Linked DNA regions of Arabidopsis thaliana. The protein of the gene in region 2 interacts with the protein of the main gene of each other region in a pairwise test. Each region holds a gene or a part of one and is shown on either strand. Other genes may lie near its edges.

Region 1 (5,277 bases), on a different chromosome or scaffold from region 2:
CTGGGTGCAAAAACATTTGATTGACCAATTTGGTACGTCGTGATTTTTTTTGTCCCATGTCAAATTAAACAAAATTGATAATATAATTCATCAAAGCGTATTTGTTTTTAATCAAAACGTTAGATAGTCTTTTAATATCAATGCCTTTATTACAAACGTAGTCTACATGTACTAATTTTCCAGTCAACATTCATAGTCACAAAATACGATAACATGAAAACTTTCATGAATTAGAAGAAGACGTTGATTGATAAAGAGAGAAGAACAACAACAAATTCAAATCACAAGATTAGCAGCAACTTTTAAGTTCCAGAGACGTTCCTCAACAGCGAGCTTAAAGCAAACATACGACTCAATCGACGCCTGAAGTACCTGATAATGGTTAAGGTTATAAACGCCCCAATCGCTCATACAAATCGCCGGATCTAACCTCACTCCTACGCGACCCAAACGCTCCTTCACGATCTGTTCAAACGAACAAAAACACATCCTAGCCCCTCTCGAATCTCTCACGAACATCCTTATGTCCAGAAGCTTCCCGATCTCCACTCGATGCCTACATTTCTCGAGTTTTTTCTGGTCTTGGCCGTTCCAAACGCCGACGAAAGTCGTTTTGGGATCGGCAAGGAAAGTGCGGAGGACTTTTGGGAGACCGTAATTGTAACCTAGTTGGATGATGAGACAGCGACTACCGACGCACAACTGGAGAGTTTTTGGTGGTGGATCTGGATCGGAACTATCCGGTCTCCACTGAACACCGATTCCAACGACGAGAGGATGTACCGAGTGATTACGGTTGTAGGAGCGGACGCTACGAATCCAGCGGCGGATAACGGAAGCAGTCGGCGTAACGGTGACGATCAAGTCGTCTCCGAAAAAATCGACAAAGTGTTTTTGGTGAGTACGGAAACTTCTGATTCTTTTGATCGTCGGAGCCATTGATCTGTCTTCTTCTTCCTTTCTCTAAATTTTTGAGCGAGTGTTAGAAAGAGAAGCGGTTTCTTTTTCTTGTTATAGGGTACATTTTTGTTTCTAGTTATAATCACCGTCGATCTTTGTAGTTTTAATCGTACGGTTGACAATGGAGATGCATGTACTGTCACATCGTCAGGCCTATCATAGATGTATACGCAAAACATTTACTAATTACTGTATTTTACGGCTCTGAATTTTTATTTTTATTTCCATAAAGGTTTGATGAAGACATGGAATATAATACTTTTTTACGTACTTCTTTTTACTAAAATAGTTTATTCAGTTATTTGGGGGCTTAATTAGGTAGATAACCATAACCTTTTTTTGTGTGTTTTTTTCACGAACAATGATTCACTGATGTAAAATCATAATTACTGATGAAGTTAACTTTCAACGTATAACGCTATGACGCAATTACTCTTGATATTTTTTCCTATATATTGGTTTGACAAAATTTTGTAACTTTAAATATAACTTCTGAAAAAATAAAAAAGTTGTAAATATAAATTCCACAACATTTTGTTTGGAACTTTGGATACATAGGCCACTTTGTTTTATCACACTTTATAATAAAGGTGGTTTCTGTTTTTTTTTTCTAAAATTCGACAGTTTGGTTTATAAGTATCTAAATTCAACTTGAAGACAAATAATTCTAACTTTATTTTATTTAAATTGTGATAAAAAAAAGTAACCCAAAACATATTTTTTGGTTCAGGCATATGTGTTACAACTTACAAGGATGCATTATCCTCAAACAAAATCCAATAAATAAAAAATAGAGAAGGTGGATGAAGATCTAAGAATTAATACTGTCACGAGAAAACGTATACAATCCACTAATACATAGCCACGTGTATGGTTAGATCTTTTCAAACAATCCGATTATATTTTGTGCTCCGCCGTATATTTATAACTAACATTACTTAATTAAATAACCATGTCGTCGACCCATTTTTTTTCTTTGACCCAAAACTTTAATTTGATTATATATATTTAATTTTAATTTTTCCATCGCACGGAGATTGTAACAAGGAAACCGCCGTCGCCGGATCTGATAGTGCATATCCATGAAGTAGAAGACGAAGAAACTTACTTTCTGATCTTAGAACGGAGTATATGTACAGAAGATTCGCGTCCCTCAATTTTTGATCTCAAGGGTCGGGTTTACCTTTTTTTCCTTCTTATTTTTGGTGGCTTTGCGTTTTCTCATTCGACGATTTCTGGATTTGGGGATTTCAAAACCATGAGGAAGAAGCTCGATACTCGGTTCCCAGCTGTAAGTTTTTCGTCTCTAATTGATCATTTCTGAAATTGAAGTCCAATTTCTCGGAAATTACTTTGATCTGTTGTTTTTCAGATCGAATTTCCAACACTATTTGGGATTAGATTAGTGTTCTACGATGAAAATTAGATTAAGTATCTCATTTCTGGCGAATTAGTTTTAGCAAATGACCTAGTAGTCAATTTCACCCTAATTTTTGTTGTGCTTGTTATATAGCTATAGTAATATGTGTTATGAAGATCCGCTATGGAATGTTTCATGTAAATTAGAGAATTCGAGAATTTAGGTGACTAGTGCTCGAAACGTGTTCTTTATCAACAAACCAGTCAGCTATTGGTTAGATAGTGTTGATTGAAGCAGGGATGTTATACACGAATTGTTTTTTCATAGGCTTGGAACTTTTTGTAGAGCTTCCAATTTGGCTAGCTAGATTTTGTTTAGCTTTATTGAATAAAACGTCAGATGATTTCATAAGTTGGTTATTGTTGATGGTGGTTTATTTTGTTTGAGCTGAGGCTAGAATATTAGTTTTTCACAGATTTTGACTTTCCATTTAATTTGTTAATATATTTTTGTTTGTATAATCTGATTGGTGATTGTACAGAGCGTGCTTGGTGTTTCTCAGTTCTACCATTTGCTTTATAATTCGTTTAGTAGTCTGTAATTATTGCCACACACACTGTGTGATGGTTGCTGTTTCTTCATTTGATGCATATATTACAATTTTTCAGGCTCGTATTAAAAAGATTATGCAAGCTGATGAGGATGTTGGCAAGATAGCTTTGGCAGTGCCTGTCTTAGTCTGTAAGTCATCTTGCTATCATTGACTTCAGTTTGAAAAGAGAATTATTGGAAACTTTACCCTTTGGCTAAATTTCATGTTCTCTTATTACAGCAAAATCTTTGGAGTTGTTCTTGCAAGACCTTTGTGATCGTACATATGAAATTACCCTTGAAAGAGGTGCCAAGACTGTGAGCTCATTGCACCTGTAAGTAACAGATTGGTTTACCTTTATTTTTGCTTTAACTCTGCATGCTAGCATCGTCATTATCTAAAGAGCATGAAAGGTTTCACTTGAATGCATTTTAAATTCTAGAGCTTTCAGATGTTGTAATTATTGATATTGTGGTTTAAGAGTTAACATGATGTTGTTAAGCGGAATAGCTTCCAACTCATAGGGCCTATTTTCACTGCATCCAACACCGAGAGGATGTTGTTTACTGTTACAGAATTTTATACCACAAATTTGGGATAAAGTTCTTATTTTTGCTCATCCATGTTTATCAAAGTGCTTTGTTGTTTACAGAAAACATTGTGTGGAAAGATATAACGTGTTTGATTTTCTGAGGGAAGTTGTGAGTAAGGTGCCTGACTATGGCCATTCCCAAGGGCAAGGACATGGTGATGTTACCATGGATGATCGCAGCATCTCCAAGAGAAGGTTGGATGTTTGATCTCTTAGTTCCATATGTTCTAGTTCTTTGTTTATAGTCCGTGTCAAGCTGATGTGAGATGGTTTATCAAAACAGGAAGCCCATCAGCGATGAAGTGAATGACAGTGACGAGGAATATAAGAAAAGCAAAACGGTGAGCTCGTGTTCTTCTTGAAATATTATACTTCATCATTCATTTGGTGTCTATTCCCAGCTCCTTAGATTCATTGAATATATTGGTAATCACTGCAGCAAGAGATAGGGAGTGCTAAGACCAGTGGCAGGGGTGGTAGAGGAAGAGGGCGAGGAAGAGGTCGTGGTGGACGAGCTGCAAAAGCAGCCGAAAGAGAGGGTCTCAACCGCGAGATGGAAGTAGAAGCCGCCAATTCTGGACAGCCACCACCAGAAGACAATGTCAAGATGCATGCGTCAGAGTCATCACCACAAGAGGATGAGAAGAAAGGCATCGACGGCACAGCAGCATCGAACGAAGACACCAAGCAACACCTTCAAAGTCCCAAAGAAGGCATTGACTTTGATCTCAACGCTGAATCCCTCGACCTAAACGAGACCAAACTGGCACCAGCCACAGGCACAACCACAACCACAACTGCAGCAACAGACTCTGAGGAGTATTCGGGCTGGCCTATGATGGACATAAGCAAAATGGATCCAGCACAGCTTGCTAGTCTGGGTAAGAGGATAGACGAGGATGAGGAAGATTATGACGAAGAAGGCTAAGTCATAACAGCACTATAGGATATATAGAGTAGCAGCGTTTAGCAGTTTGTCTAGAAAATGCTTCTTCTGTCATCAAAATCTTCTCCTGTTTCCATTTATTGTATGAACCAAAGATTGCATGCACTCTATGAAACTTAATTTATTCTCCTGATTTGTTATTTAAGGTTTTAGAGTTTTACATCAGAAGTTAAAATATCTTACAGAGTAAGTAAACACTCAAAAGTACATAAACAAAGGAGAGGGACTAGTCATGGTGTTGCTCCGCGTGGTTGAGATGAAGAGCACCTTCATGGTTCTTGTGAACTTCCACCTTGAACTTTTCCTCTTTTTCTCCCCTCTTCAACTTCAGTAGCATGTTGTATTTTGCAGCCTCGCCGGTTACCTGTGTCCATGTTTTTAATATTAAGCTCATTAATCTTGTAATCACCAACTATTACAACTCAGACGTTAGTCCTCATACCAAGGAGAACCAATATGTTGCTTAAAGTCTTTTCTACTTCTAAAACTTCAACACCATTCGGTTTCACTGACACTTGATTTCGTTTATTTGCAATTTCTCAGATGAAATTCATGCAAAAACATTGTCAAAATCTGACAAGTTCTCTATTGAAATTCATTTTGTGCAATTAAGATCGAAGATAGAGTATATAGTAAATTAAAGCCATACCTCAGCTTTAGCATGCACAACCTCCAGAAGTTCATAAGGGAACAAGGAGTTAGACCTCTGCTGAATGGTCTTGACAGCCTGCTCAGCAACATGCTTCACTTCTGGATCATCTCCGGGAACTTCCCTCCATCCAGATTCATGTTCACCTGATCCACAAAACCCAATTTTCATAACCAAA
Region 2 (3,958 bases):
AACGAAAAAGAGAGAGGTGAACAAAAAAAAAACTCGTGGACTAGAGAGTCGAATTTTTTCTCAGAGGATCGATGGAAACTTTTGCTTAATTTTATTTCCTCAGATTTTCCGGGAAAAACGAAACGAGAGATCTCTGTGCTCCTCTCTCGTCGCAGCGGTGGAATTGGAGTTATACCATAATTTTTATTTAATGACGCTTAAAAAGAGAAACAAAGCAAAACTAATTCGTATTGTAATTAATTATTGCATTATTAAGACTAAGCTTTGCAAATTAAATCGAGCTGAAACAGCAAAAATTTATTTAATTAATTGATGACAGAAATGGGTGAAATCAGATCTTTATAAAAGTTTTAAGTAATTTTTTTTCTAGAAGAATAATTATAATATTAAAAAAATAAAAGTGCTCGATACATTTTTACAAATGAAGTCGAAAATATTGTGAGATTCTGATTACGTAGAAATAATTATCTACTTATAAAAATTATTAGATTACTTATTACTGGATAAAATAAAAAACTTTGAAAGGCAGAAAACGAAGTGTGTGTGTTTGACAAAGAAGAAGTCCGCAAAATGTCGGCGAGAGAGTTAAATCCATTCTTCTTTGCCTAACCAAAATTACTCTTAACTAATAAATTAAACAGTTGATTAGACATCCAAGAGTGGTCCAACTCCTCTCCTCTAGCCCTTGGTTTAATTCCATGGTTTGGGAAAAGAAACCGGGTAAGTTTCTCCGGTTTAGATGCTTCAATGTTGAAGCCGTACAAAGGAATCCAGATTTGGTGATCAGACTAGAAATGGATTCAAGACTTCAGAATTATGAAGTTACACATAATTTAAGGGGATTTGGATTCGAATGACACTAGTTGCTAAGATTCAATAAAAACCTTACTAATTACATCTGAATCACCTAAGTGATTTTAGATTCAAAGAAAGGGGAAAAAACACAACCCTAAGTTAAAAAATGTAAAGAGCATATCAACACCAAGACGCGACGAATTTTGCACTTTACAGAGATATTGCTAGAAAGAAAAAGAAGTCAAAAGGATAATGTTAAAATAAGGGATTCCTTTGCGGTTTTGTTGATTAGCTTTGTAGACTTGTTTGTTGTTGTTGTTGGGGTTCTTCTAGTTGCTCTGGTTGAGGAACTGTAACACCTCCATTCATTCTTGCTCGAGCTTCTGCAAACATCCTCTGTTGTTCCGCTGCCGCCTCTTCTTCCGTCATCTCTGCTCCGCTATTCATCTTCACACTTCTCTGCGAATCCTGCTGCAGAATTGGCAATAACACAAATGATACTGATTATAATTTCATTCAAGTCTGGATCTTATTGTGAGCTAGGAGATGATGGTTACCATGGTTTCATATTTATGTTGCTCATACGCGGCATAAACTTCTTCTACGTATTCCCCAAAGCCAAGAACCTGTGTTTAACAAAATCAAGATTACAAAACATGTATATATTTCACATAGATGTATCAGACTGAGCTGAATGTAACACCAAACCTGTAAAGCTTTGAGTACGTGCTCAGGGGCTATTGTTCGTTTATCCTCTTTGTTACACACTTCATTCGACTCCGACGATATAAGATTTATGAACTCTACAATAAACAAATTTGAACATCATAAGTAATGAAATAAGCAAATTTGAAACAATGTTCGCATTCATAAATCTCAAGACTAATAATCATTACCTACACAACACTCAATCAATAGATCTTGAGCATCTCTAGCAACACGAACATCTGCGGGTAACATCTCCTTTATAATTTTCGTCATGGTAGCTGAAAGAACAAACATATTTTTTATCAGACAAAAATACAGAGTCATTGCATTGAGTAACCTGAAGCCATAGCTAGAGCTAGATTTACAAAATCTTTCAATTTAACCAAGAAATTGACAGAACCAAAAATTAAGTAGTAGATCGATCCAAAGAAGGAAACGAGACCGAACCTTTCGGAAGCGAAGCATCTTCCTTTGATTTTCCAACTATATCCATCGGATCCATAGTTTTAAATCTACATGATCAGAATTCAAAAGGAAAATCAGATTACCGGAAGATCTAGACCGCGAAGTTATAAGATGAAGAACAAAGGAGAAAACAGAGATAGACTTTACCGAGTTTAACACGGATCGAAACAGAGGCAGATCAACGACGGAGATCCGGTGAGTTAACAGACTCTCGAGACAGATTCACGGCGAGATCGGAGACGTGCAGTCGTACGGAATCTTATCGGCGGATTTTCTCTCTCCTTTTTCGGTTTCTCTACGCAGAAGTCGATTAGGGCAAAAAAACATAAGACCAGAAGTAAGTGCGTGACTTTCACTTTTGCCTTAAAGTGATTGACGGCGCGTAAGATCTAATTTCGTTATTTTTTAAGACAAATGAAATGGGCTTTTTACCGAACATTACATATGTAGGCTTGCTTGCAGCAGACACGACCCATTTCAGCCCAAGTTTTTTTTTTTTTTTTTGGTTTTGAACAAATCATCCGCTTTTTAGTCCACTGGTTAATCAGAGAAATTAGGGGATGTATTGAATTTTGAAGTATTTTGTAAGAGTTTGATTTATTTCCAACTCCATGTCATTCTTCTTTTTAGTATGTTATTCATGTTACATGTTATTCAAATATGATTTTTAAAATGTCTTCCTAAATCTTATGATATTCAAATTCAATAACTATGTTACTACAATTTTTTCTTGGACAAATATGTTATGAGACTTTTAGATACATTTTAGTTATAAATATGAATCAAATACATTTTAGTTCTAGAAGAAAAAACCAGATCTATAAAGTTTGTTATTAAAAGATAGAGAGAGAGGAGGGATGTAGTAGGCCAATAGGCAAATCAGAGAATCACAAATGGTATCTGGTCAAGAAGATTCCTGGTTAAAACTTTCATCTCTCTGTTTCCTTTTTCTTTCTTTGTTGGATTCATTAATTTGACATATCTCTATCATCACACTGATTCTCTTTCTCCCAGTTTGTCTGCAGATGCATGTGTGTAATCTAGGGTATATGTTTTTGTCCATTTGGTTTCATAAGGCAATAAAGATCCAGCTATTTACTACTTGTGGTATAGATTTTGACTGTTGAATTTTCAGATCTGATGTGTTTCGTTTGATCCGATTCGGAAAATTTATGTTTCGTTGACATTTTGGAGTTTAGTTGGAAGAAGAGTGAGAGTCGCTGGAGGCAGCGGTTCATCGATCTCTTCCTGTGAACACATTAAAAATGTAAAAGCATGAATAGATCGATAAACCTCTGCATCCAGCGTTTGCCTCTTGTATCTTTCTTATTGACTTGAATCTTTTTGTTTATTGGTTTTTGAAAGAAGAAAAAAGTGAGGGAAAACAGAGTCAAGTCCGATTACTTTTCTGGGAAAGCTGAGGATTTTGTGTTCTTAGAGAGCAGATGAAGAGGTGACTGTTGTTTCTGGTGAGAATTCGACCTCTTTAGTTTGTTTGTTTTTTCAGTTAATGAAGTGCTTGTTATTGAAGTGTGTAGTTGACTGATAAGCGCCTTAGCTTTATCTTAATGTTTATCAAGTAGATTTGGCGTTGGATAATTAAAAAGAAGTTCAGATTCTTGTAGGTTGCTTACTTCGTCTGACCAAACAATGTTCCTGAAAAAGTGTTGTGTTTTGTTTCATGTATCAAAAAGTCTAGCTTCAAAATTTTCTTGCTTTTTTCCAACATGCAAGATTTCTCTTTATAAATCGGTACATTTGTAGGTACAAATCGGTACAAATTTGCCATTGTATAAATCGGTACAAATTTTCCTGTGTTCTTGTAACAATGCCCTTTATACATTTGTAGGTGAGATAGAAGTTGGCATCTAAATTTGCTTTCTCTGGACCAGTGAAATCAATTGCAGTCTCCTATATATTGTAGTAGGCGATGTATCAGTGGTGAAGCGAGGATGACATCTGTGGGTACTTGTTCTTAATCCTTCACTCT

The links.
Region 1: the proteins of NF-YB12 (region 2) and NF-YC11 interact in a two-hybrid assay, tested with the Arabidopsis thaliana proteins (one study listed by BioGRID).

The regions. Positions count from the first base shown.
Region 1 is NC_003074.8:3,955,847-3,961,123, forward strand, and holds NF-YC11 (nuclear factor Y, subunit C11), read left to right. Parts: upstream 1-1,916; 5' UTR 1,917-2,218; coding exon 2,219-2,251; intron 2,252-2,988; coding exon 2,989-3,061; intron 3,062-3,152; coding exon 3,153-3,246; intron 3,247-3,564; coding exon 3,565-3,699; intron 3,700-3,787; coding exon 3,788-3,845; intron 3,846-3,943; coding exon 3,944-4,432; 3' UTR 4,433-4,626; downstream 4,627-5,277. Other genes in the region: AT3G12470 (Polynucleotidyl transferase, ribonuclease H-like superfamily protein), read right to left, coding at 277-939; CYSB (cystatin B), read right to left, coding at 4,677-4,814, 5,100-5,245.
Region 2 is NC_003076.8:2,634,251-2,638,208, reverse strand, and holds NF-YB12 (nuclear factor Y, subunit B12), read right to left. Parts: upstream 2,378-3,958; 5' UTR 2,116-2,377; intron 2,016-2,115; 5' UTR 2,006-2,015; coding exon 1,951-2,005; intron 1,782-1,950; coding exon 1,692-1,781; intron 1,599-1,691; coding exon 1,504-1,598; intron 1,422-1,503; coding exon 1,353-1,421; intron 1,267-1,352; coding exon 1,084-1,266; 3' UTR 776-1,083; downstream 1-775.